Linked DNA regions of Macaca fascicularis. The protein of the gene in region 1 interacts with the protein of each later gene in a biochemical or structural test. Links are inferred from orthologs where the notes say so. Each region holds a gene or a part of one and is shown in the gene's direction. Other genes may lie near its edges. The genes, in order: KBTBD8, TCOF1 and NOLC1.

Region 1 (3,649 bases):
GCAACTGGTGTTGATGGAATTTACTGGATTAGTTTGAAAGAGAAAAAGGAACAAAGCATTAATTAAGTTATACTATTTAGTTACCAAAGAGTTTTATATAAGCCTTATTATTGCAAAAGTTATGAAACTTAATTACAAAGAGTTTGGAAGTATAGTCTTTAAGTTTCACCTTCACTGCTGTTTATGTTGCCTTTCATAATACATTTTCAATTGTTTTCACCGGAAAACTTTGAGATGTCACTTTTTTTTGGTTTGCCATTTTAATAGGACTGTCTGATATATGTAGTGTTTTTTGTTTGTTTGTTTTTTTAACTGTTAAGGACTACTTTGACAAAAATACAGTAGAGGTAGAGTGACTGAGTCAGAGTAAATAAGACATTTGATTCAAGGCTCTGATTTGTGATAACTAGTATTTTCCTTTTATTTGGTTTCTTACATATTTTAGTTGCTTGAATGTTTAATGCAGTGTAGATAATAGCAACATCCTTATTCTTCATATGTGTCCTTCAATTGATGTTTTTCTCACACTACTACTTAAGGAAAAGGAGCAGCTTCTATGAAGATATACAGTCATGTGCCATGTAATGTTTTGGTCTGTGATGGATCACATACACAATGGTGGTCCTATAAGATTATGATAGCATAATTTTACTGTACTTGTTCCATGTTTAGATACGTTTAGATACAAAAAACGCTTCCCATTGTGTTATAGTTGCCTAGAGTACTCAGTACAGTCACATGCTGTACAGTTTTGTAGCCTAGGAGCAATAGGCTACAGTGTAGCCTAGGTGTGTGGTAAGCTCCCATCTAGGTTTGTGTAAGTATGCTCTATGAAGTTCTTTGCACAAGGACAAGTATCACTTAACCATGCATTTCTCAGAATATGTCCCTGTCATTAATTGATGCATGACTGCCCTTATCCCATTGTTTTCTTTCTTTCTTCTTTCCCCTTCCCCTTCCCTTCTTTTCTTTCATTTATTTCTTTCTGTTTTGTTTTGAGACAGGGTCTCACTCTGACACCCAGGCTGGTGTGCAGTGGCATGATCTTGGCTGACTGCAACTTCCGCCTCCTGGGTTCACATGATTCTCCCACCTCAGTCTCAGGCACCCGCCACCATGCCTGGCTAATTTTTGAGTTTTTGGTAGAGACGGGGTTTCACTATGTTGACCAGGCTGGTCTTGAACTCCTGACCTCCAGTGATCCACCCACCTTGGCCTCCCACCATTGTTTTCTTTTAAAAATTGTGTTCCTTGCTCTAATCCTTTATTTAACTAAAAACTTCCTAGTAATGTCCGAGCCCATTTGTTTAAGTTCAGTGTCAAGTTAATTCCTCAGAAGGAGTTGTAGTCTCTGGTTCATTATTTTAGTTAAATAGAAGCACCGGGCATGATTTGGGTTTGCTGTCTTGCAGAAAAATGGAATATAGGAATGGATGTATAATCTGTCCAGTATAGTTGGATAGGTTATGTCATCCAGTATGATGAAGCTGTGTATGTGTGTATTTTGGTCTTACTGCCTAACTGTTAGTTGATAGAGGTAGAATTAGATTCCTATTTGGAATGTAAAGGTTGTATATTAATGCAAATACTAAAGCAAACTAGCAATGAATTAATAGAATTTCAGGGCTGGAATTATTAACATCATTTAATTTGAGGTTATATTTTACATAAGAGGATTCTGAAGCCCTAAGGGTTTCTTAATTGCATATTATTAGCTTTAACTTATTAAAGAGTACTTTAGATTTTAAAATTCAACTTCTTTGGTTTGTCGTCTTTACTTTCTTATCTATAAGAAATTTATAGAGAAGTAGCACACATTACAAAGTTTAAATTTCCTACCTTCTTTATCAAGAATCCTGTTACAAGTTAGGCAATAAGGGCAGATGATGTGCAAGCAAATCTGGGAGCTTAACAAGCTATTTTAAGTCAGTTGAAGGCAAAGCATCACTGTTATGAAGTAGGTAGTCGAATCTGTAGATAAGAGTAACCCTAGTTCAAAACAGTTTTCAAGGGGAAGCTCAATTTAGAATCTGGTATTTCTAATCTAAACAAAGCCTCTTTACATAAATAAACCTGACATGCATAGTCAGAAGCTTATGTTGTACTATCTGTGGCTATTGAAGTATCATTTAATCTGTTCATAAAGGGTTCAGATTTTTATTACAAAGATTTTATACAGATGCTATAATTAGCAAAACTCTTGTAAATCTTCACTACTTTAATTCTTTCAGACATTTTCATATTGGCAGTCTGACTCAGCATACCTTTTTATTGTCAAATCAAAATAGAAACTGACTCAGAGTCAACATCACAAACCATGTATGTGTTTTCTATCTTATTAAAGGCATGTTTTCTCCTGCTGAATATTTGTCTTTGCATTATAGCAACATTCAGGTAAGCACATCAGTGACCCATAAGCATAAATCTGTATAATTCCATCTGCTGTCTTCTAATGAAATAGCATATACATTTATCATGGCATATTTATGGTGATGTTGTATGTATGCATTTTGGTCTTACCGGCTGAACACTACTAATAATGCTTTTTTAGAGTTAGAGTGAAATGAGTTTTCTATAAACACACAAATTGGATAGAGCAAATAGAATAATTTTTTTTTTTTTTTTTTTGAGCTGGAGTCTCACATTGTTACCCAGCCTGGAGTGCAGTGGCGTGATCTTGGCTCACTGCATCCTTCACCTCCCAGGTTCAAGCGATTCTCCTGCCTTAGCCTCTTGAGTAGCTGGAATTACAGGTGCCTGCCACCGCACCTGGCTAATTTTTGTATTTTTAATGAAGGTGGGGTTTCATCATGTTGGCCAGGCTGGTCTCTGAACTCCTCACCTCAAGTGATTCACCTGTCTGAGCCTCCCAAAGTGCTGGGATTACAGGCATGAGCCATGGTGCCCAGCCAGAATCAAGCTCTTAACAATTCTATGATCAAACCCAAGTAACTCCTTATACCTTCCCAATACAAACCTCCCAATTCAGGTTGATTATAATATTATCGGTTATATTGTGTCATGGAATGACAAAGTTTTAAGGTATTTCGTAACCCATATGAATGTATCTCCAGAGATTATAAAGAAAATGTTTTAGAAAGTGAAATATATAGAAAATTATGCCCTTTAATCTTTAGAGGTTGTAGTTACAACATATAACCAAAAACCAAACATAAAAATATACATATTCTTGTTTTCTTTTTTTAGGAGAATTTTTCCTCTTCTATGAGCCTCAAAAAGACTACTGGGGTTTCCTGACCCCCATGACTGTGCCTAGAATCCAGGGCTTAGCAGCTGTATACAAGGACTCTATCTACTACATAGCTGGAACCTGTGGAAATCATCAACGTATGTTTACTGTAGAAGCCTATGATATTGAGCTAAATAAATGGACTCGTAAGAAAGACTTTCCATGTGATCAGTCCATAAATCCATACCTTAAACTGGTACTTTTCCAGAACAAACTCCATTTATTTGTTCGAGCTACTCAAGTGACTGTCGAAGAACACGTCTTCAGAACCAGCAGAAAAAATTCCCTTTACCAGTATGATGACATTGCTGACCAGTGGATGAAAGTGTATGAGACCCCAGATCGGCTCTGGGACCTTGGCCGGCATTTTGAATGTGCTGTTGCTAAACTGTATCCTCA
Region 2 (3,649 bases), on another chromosome or scaffold:
TAAGAAGTAGAGATGGGGGACCACCAGGTTGGGGATTGTCCCCAGTGAAGGTGCTGATTGAGTGGTGGGGCCTAAGCTGCTTCCCTGCCCTGGGCTGGGAACTGTCCCTTGCTCCTTGAGGACAATGTGATTAGCTCATAACCTGAAGCCTGCCACCAATTTTGCCCCTGTGACTGCCCCTCAGTCCGCACTCCAGCCCTCAGCCCAGCTAGATGGCATCTGACCAGGGTGTGGCACAGCTGGCATCCCGAGGACTCGTGAGTCTCAGGGCTACCTCTTGCCACCCGCAGGTGTCAAAGAAGAACCCAGCTTCCCTCCCACTGACCCAGGCTGCCCTGAAGGTCCTCGCCCAGAAAGCCAGTGAGGCTCAGCCTCCTGTTGCCAGGACCCAGCGTTCACGTGGGGTGAGCCTGGGGAGCAGGGGAAGCAAGCCCGCGGAGCATAGAAGGTGCAGGTGTGGCCCTGCGTCCTGGCACCAGCACTTACCTGTTCTGTGACCTCTGCACTTGGTTTGCCTCCCTGGGCCTCAGTGGCCTAATCTGTAAGAAGGAATTACAGTACCTTTTGTAGTTGGGAGGATCAAAAGAGGCTGCATGTGTGCCCTGTCTAACACAGTGCCTGGTCCTATTGAAGTGTTCAGGAAGGACCAGGTCTTACTTGCCCTAATTTTTCCTTCCATTCCTTCTCCTTTCACCAAATTAGGCTGACAGTGCTGTGGGAACGCTCCCTGCAACGAGTCCCCAGAGCACCCCCATCCAGGCCAAAGGGACCAACAAGCTCAGAAAACCTAAGCTTCCTGAGGGCCAGCAGGCCACCAAAGCCCCTGGGAGCTCAGATGACAGTGAGGACAGCAGCAACAGCTCTTCAGGGAGCGAGGAAGATGCTGAAGGGCCCCAGGTGGCCAAGTCGGCCCACACGCTGGGTGAGGGTGCTGGGGAAAAGGAAGGGTGGGCCAGGAAGAGGGTGGAGTGTGGCCTGGTGGAGCCATAGCTCTGGCCTCAGCTCCATATCTCAGACTTGTTCTGTGCCTGTGGCTGAGCCTGGGCCTCAGTTTCCCCACCTGTACAACTTCATGAGAAAGTCAATCCAAATGATTTCAGAGACCTGACTTTGCTGTTTCACCACTCTCAGCATTTTGGTATCAGACTCCCTTCATTGGCTCCCCAAAACTCCAGGGCCATGTTTCCGGAACAGTGGAAAGCAGGGAACTAGAAATGGGGCCTCAGGAGTTAGAAATAAGGCTTTGGCATTCAGATGTCGTGCCTAGCATGCTGTGACTAGCGATGAGTGTGCAAGGAGTGTTGAAGCAGTAGGAAGATTTGGGGTGGGGCGGGGATTGGGGTAAGGGACCTGCAGAGAAACCAGGGCCTTCCTCAAGGGCTCTGCCCCTCCCGGCTGGAAGGGGCCACTTGGGGCTACCAACAGTAACTGGAGATACTGTGCTTCTCCAGTAGGTCCCACCCCCTCCAGGACGGAGACCCTGGTGGAGGAGACTGCAGCAGAGTCCAGCGAGGATGATGTGGTGGCGCCATCCCAGGTAACTGCAAGGGAGAGGGCTGGCAGCCCAGGGGCCTTAGGATGGAGCCCCAGGCCAGGCTCCTGTCTACTCCATCACTCAGGTCAGGAGTCTGGGTCCCCTCTCTTCAGAGGCCTTGGGCAAGGTCCTGTCTGCAAGGCACTGCATGTGGCCCAGCCAGCAGACCACGGCCAGGCTGCCTCCCTCCCCTCGTAGAGCCCTGAGTAGCTAACCCTTAGGGTCTGTAGAAGGGATTGACCTTGATTCTGGGTGATGTCCAGACAAAAACATTCTTTAGCCAATTTCTTTTAAGGTTACTTACTATCTGTATGTGGCAAAAACTAGTAATTTTCCATTCGCATTAATAAGAAATTTCCTTTTTAAATGTGCCTGTCTAGAAAGTGTATTAGGAGGGTTCAGGAGGCACACACCAAGGGCTGAAGTGCTGCTCTGTGCCTTGCTGTCCGCCCACTCTGCACCGTCAGGGCAGGGCGATCCTAGAGGCCGCAGGCTGCTTTCCTCGCAGCAGGCCGTCACTCGGGCTGGGTTATGGCGGGGGTCGGGGTGGTGGCAGCCTGTTTCACAATGGACTTCTTCAGTCTCTCCTCTCAGGTTATGTGACCCCTGGACTAACCCCAGCCAATTCCCAGGCCTCAAAAGCCACTCCCAAGCCATACTCCAGCCCCTCAGTTTCCTCTACTCTGGCAGCCAAAGATGACCCAGATGGCAAGCAGGAGGCAAAGCCCCAACAGGCAGCAGGCATGTTGTCCCCTAAAACAGGTAAGTTAAGGTCTGCAGGAGGAATTATAGCAGGACACAGAGGGACAGGGCAGTGGGCCCCTTCCTGCTCTCCTGCAGCAACAGTCCTCCCAATGTGGTCCTGTCTGCCCCCAGAGCCTTGCCAAGTGAGACCTTATGGCCCTGCACTGGATCTGGACATGCTCATCAAAGTGCAGGTGGGGCCGGGTGCAGTGGCTCACGTCTATAATCCCAGCACTTTGGGAGGCCGAGGTGGGCAGATTGCTCGAGCCCAGGAGTTCAAGGCCAGCCTGGGCAACAGAGGGAGATCTCATCTCTAAAATGTATTTGAATTAGCTGGTGTGATGGTGCACGCTTGTAGTCCCAACTACTTGAGAGGCCGAGGCAGGAGAATCACTTGAGGCCAGGAGGTTGAGCCTATAGTGAGCCATGATCATGCCACTACACTCCAGCCTGGGTGCTAGAGTGAGGCCCTATCTCAAAAAAAAAAAAAGTACAGGTGGGCCCCACGCCCAGGTGTCTGGCTGCCATGGCCCTGGACAGCCTGGAAGTAGGGGTGTATCCAGGCCCGGGTTGGTGCTGATGCACCTGGTAGGATAACCCCTGCCTCAGAGGAAGCCGCATCTTTTGGCTTGTGCAGCAAGCGTTGGCTCTCTCCAACCATCCCCATCAACTTTTCTTCTCCATAAATAGGCTCACTGTGTGGGTTGTGGGCCATGGGCCCCAGAGGATAGCTTAGACAGTAGGCTGACAGTCATGTCCGGAGGACACTCAGCACATGCAGGAGACCCCAGGCAATAGACTGGCCCCAGGCTGTTCCCACTCACTGTAAAGCCTTGGAAATCCCCTGGCCACTCTGAGCCTCTGTGTCTTAACCATACAAAGCAGGAGTTGATGTATCCCATCTGTGTCAAGGCATGGCACGTGTAGAAAATAGTCACATGGTGTTTGGAGGGCAGAATGGAGTATTCCAGTCACGCGACCTCTGGGGCATCCACTGTCCCTGACCCTACTGGAGCTGAGGTCAAATATGTACCAGCTGGGCACACCTGGGACAGCTCCAGGGCCTCCCCAGCCTTGCTGTTCTGCGTATTTGCAGATAAGCAGCAGAAAAGTGGGCTGGGTGCAGTGACTCGCGCCTGTAATCCCAGCACTTTGGGAGGCCAGAGCAGGCAGCTCACTTGACGTCAGGAGTTCAAGACCAGCCTGGCCAATGTGGTGAAACCTTGTCTCTACTAAAAATACAAAAAACTAACCAGCATGATGGCAGGTGCCTGTACTCCCAGCAACTCAGGCTAAGGCAGGAGAATTGCTTGAACCTGGGAGGTACAGGTTGCAGTGAGCCGAGATTGTACCACCATACTCCAGCCTGGG
Region 3 (3,649 bases), on another chromosome or scaffold:
AAGCTTTTGTTGATTTCTCTCCTTGTGTCTTTTCTAACAGAAGGGAGTTAAGCCCCAAGCCAAGGCAGCCAAAGCTCCTCCTAAGAAGGCCAAGAGCTCTGATTCTGATTCTGACTCAAGCTCCGAGGATGAGCCACCAAAGAACCAGAAGCCAAAGATAACACCTGTGGCAGCTAAAGCTCAGGCTAAGGCCCCTCCCAAACCAGGTACTGTTTCTGTTCCCAAGAGGCTGGGCTGGGAACCAGATTGCTCTGGGGACTTGTGTTAAAACTGCTGATTTGGCACAGGGGTGAAATGGTACTGGTTGTTGAACTGGAGGTATTGATTACTGGTCTTTTAATTTTAAAGGTTTTACTAATAACAAGATTTCATAGGAGCTAGTAAATAGAGAAACAGTTATTGCAGCAAGGAAAAATGTATATTTTTTAAAATGATATCCATTTGGTATTTTTTTGTGACATTTCATAGACATTTTATGTTCTTACACATCCCATTCCACTGTAACCACTTAAATATCTATTTGTTGTGCTTTTCACTGCCTTTTTTATTCTTGTACGTCATTCTATGAGACAAATGAGAATTTTTCTTTTTTTCTGTAACTTGAGGGTTAGGTTATTTCTCTGAATGGAGGTTGAAGTGAAAGATTTTAGAGGGCATATTGAGATTATTTATGTCATCTTTTCTTAGTTTTATTCCTGCCATGGGATAGGAAAGGCATCCTTTGATGTGGTAAACCATGGCATTCTCCTTGATGGCTGCTCTAAAGTTGAAAGAATTGGTGGACTCCTGGCCAGGCACAGTGGCTCACGCCTATAATCCCAGCACTTTGGGAGGCTGAGGCAGGCGGATTGCTTGAGGTCAGGAGTTCAAGACCAGCCTGGCCAACATGGCAAAACCTTGTTTCTACCAAAAATAAAAAAACTAGCTGGGCATGGTGGTGGGCACCTGTAATCCCAGCTACTCCGGAGGCTGAGGCAGGAGAGTTGCTTGAACCACTGCACACTGCTCTGTGCGACAGAGTCAGAGCCAGACTCCGTCTCAAAAGAAAAAAAAAAGGGGGGGAATTGGTGGACTTCTAAGTTCTCTGCTCATAGGAAGGAGGTTTTTCATGGTCCTGACTTGCCCTATTACTCCTTACTCTTTCTTTTTCTTGGGTATTCCAGCTCGAGCAGCACCTAAAGTAGCCAATGGTAAAGCAGCCAGTAGCAGCAGCAGCAGCAGCAGCAGTAGCAGTGATGACTCAGAGGAGGAAAAGGCAGCAGCCACCCCCAAGAAGGTCTGGGCCATAACTTCGGTCAGGGAAGAGGTGACCAGGGTGGGGTGTGTGTGTGTCTCCATTCCCTGGCAGGATTGGTTGGATCAGCATTTTCCTGTGGTAATCAGTTTTCTTTCCAATGCAGACTGCACCTAAAAAGCAAGTTGTGGCCAAGGCCCCAGTGAAAGCAGTTGCCACCCCTACCCAGAAGAGTTCCAGCAGTGAGGATTCCTCCAGTGAGGAGGAAGAGGAGCAAAAAAAACCCCTGAAAAATAAACCAGGTGACTGGACATGGAGAGTCAAGCTGTATGACTGTGGTCAGGGCCCAGCTGCAGTAATCACATGGACCTCTCCATAGAGCTGCTTGAGCGTCCTCATGACATGACAGCTAGCTTCTCCCAGTACTAGTGATCTGGGAAAGCAAGGAGGAATCTCCAGTGCCTTGTATAACTTAGACTCAGAAGTGACACCGTGTTCTGTTAGAACTGAGTCATTGGCCGGGCGCGGTGGCTCACGCCTGTAATCCCAGCACTTTGGGAGGCCGAGACGGGCGGATCACAAGGTCAGGAGATCGAGACCATCCTGGCTAACAAGGTGAAACCCCATCTCTACTAAAAAATACAAAAAACTAGCCGGGCGAGGTGGCGGGCGCCTGTAGTCCCAGCTACTCGGGAGGCTGAGGCAGGAGAATGGCGTAAACCCGGGAGGCGGAGCTTGCAGTGAGCTGAGATCCGGCCACTGCACTCCAGCCTGGGTGACAGAGCGGGACTCCGTCTCAAAAAAAAAAAAAGAACTGAGTCATGATTCTGGCCTATACTCAAGGGGAATTAAGCTTCATTTCTAGAAGAAAGTAGTATCAAAAAATTTGTAGACATATCTTAAAACCATCATACTATCCTTTTTAAACAGGTCCCTACAGTTCAGTCCCCCCACCTTCTGCTCCCCTACCAAAGAAGTCTCTGGGAACCCAGCCTCCCAAGAAGGCTGTGGAGAAGCAGCAGCCTGTGGAAAGCAGTGAAGACAGCAGTGATGAGTCTGGTGAGTCAGAGGGATGCAGCCTCCCCTCAGTGTGGGTCTGGAGAAGGGGATGAAGAATAAGGGAGAGAGAAAGCCTTCCATCCCTCCATTGTTTTTTGCTTAAAGCAAGACAGAGCTATGGCTCTGTGTGTGTCTTTGCATTCTTTTTATTGCTGTCCTGGTTGGGTTGGGACTCTGGACCCAGCATAATGCTACAGGTTCTCCTCAGATTCAAGTTCTGAAGAAGAGAAGAAACCCCCAACTAAGGCAGTCGTCTCTAAAGCAACCACTAAACCACCTCCAGCAAAGAAAGCAGCAGAGAGTTCTTCAGACAGCTCAGGTAAGGCATATGGAGGCCCTCAGTTCAGTGAAATGCTCTCAGGCAGCTGCTAAGGGCTCCCCTGAATCTGAATTGGGGAGCTGTTGATCCCATCCCTCTGTGTCTAGACTCTGACAGCTCTGAGGATGTTGAAGCTCCTTCCAAGCCAGCTGGTACCACCAAGAATTCTTCAAATAAGCCAACTGTCACCATCAAGTCACCTGCAGCAAAGCCAGCTGCAACCCCCAAGCAATCTGTGGGCGGTGGCCAGAAGCCTCCGATGAGAAATGCTGACAGCAGCTCCAGTGAGGAAGAGAGCAGCTCCAGTGAGGAGGAGAAGAAAAAAAAGACGGTGGCCACCACTAAGCCCAAGGCGACTGCCAAAGCAGCTCCGCCTCTGCCTGCCAAGCAGGCTCCTCAGGGTAGTAGGGACAGCAGCTCTGATTCAGACAGCTCCAGCAGTGAGGAGGAGGAGGAGGAAGAGAAGACAGCTAAGTCTGCAGTTAAGAAGAAGCCACAGAAGGTAGCAGGAGGTGCAGCCCCTTCCAAGCCAGCCTCTGCAAAGAAAGGAAAGACTGAGAGCAGCAGCAGTTCTTCCTCTGATGACTCCAGTGAGGAGGAGGAAGAGAAGCCCAAGGGCAAGGGCTTTCCCAGACCACAAGCTCCCAAGGCCAATGGCACCTCTGCACTGACTGCCCAGAATGGAAAAGAAGCTAAGAACAGCAAGGAAGAGGAAGAAGAAAAGAAAAAGGCAGCAGTGGCAGTTTCCAAATCAGGTCTGTACCCAGTAAACATGCCCTCTGGGTTTTGTCCCCCCAAATCAGGATGGGATATACTCTTTGAGAGTAGGGTAGTGAGAGGAGGCCCACCACTGGGCTTCCAGTTGTGGAAACTGGGAGGAAGAACAGGAAACTGGTCTTTTTTTTTTTTTAATAGAATCTTACTCTGTCACCCAGGCTGGGGTGCAATGGCATGATCACGGCTTGTGCAGCTTTAACTTCATGGGCTCAGGTGATCTTTCCACCTTAGCCTCCTGAGTAGCTGGGACTACAAGCATG

Evidence for each region.
Region 2: the proteins of KBTBD8 (region 1) and TCOF1 form a complex in vitro, tested with the Homo sapiens proteins (2 studies listed by BioGRID, with this or other methods). The link is inferred for Macaca fascicularis from reciprocal best matches to the Homo sapiens genes KBTBD8 and TCOF1.
Region 3: the proteins of KBTBD8 (region 1) and NOLC1 form a complex in vitro, tested with the Homo sapiens proteins (2 studies listed by BioGRID). The link is inferred for Macaca fascicularis from reciprocal best matches to the Homo sapiens genes KBTBD8 and NOLC1.

The regions. Positions count from the first base shown.
Region 1 is NC_088376.1:130,078,494-130,082,142, forward strand, and holds part of KBTBD8 (kelch repeat and BTB domain-containing protein 8), read left to right. Parts: intron 1-3,207; coding exon 3,208-3,649. UniProt on the Homo sapiens protein: Substrate-specific adapter of a BCR (BTB-CUL3-RBX1) E3 ubiquitin ligase complex that acts as a regulator of neural crest specification.
Region 2 is NC_088380.1:157,272,120-157,275,768, forward strand, and holds part of TCOF1 (treacle protein), read left to right. Parts: intron 1-290; coding exon 291-404; intron 405-702; coding exon 703-922; intron 923-1,451; coding exon 1,452-1,537; intron 1,538-2,115; coding exon 2,116-2,296; intron 2,297-3,649.
Region 3 is NC_088383.1:111,164,296-111,167,944, forward strand, and holds part of NOLC1 (nucleolar and coiled-body phosphoprotein 1), read left to right. Parts: intron 1-40; coding exon 41-206; intron 207-1,163; coding exon 1,164-1,276; intron 1,277-1,400; coding exon 1,401-1,536; intron 1,537-2,164; coding exon 2,165-2,293; intron 2,294-2,501; coding exon 2,502-2,612; intron 2,613-2,719; coding exon 2,720-3,367; intron 3,368-3,649. UniProt on the Homo sapiens protein: Nucleolar protein that acts as a regulator of RNA polymerase I by connecting RNA polymerase I with enzymes responsible for ribosomal processing and modification.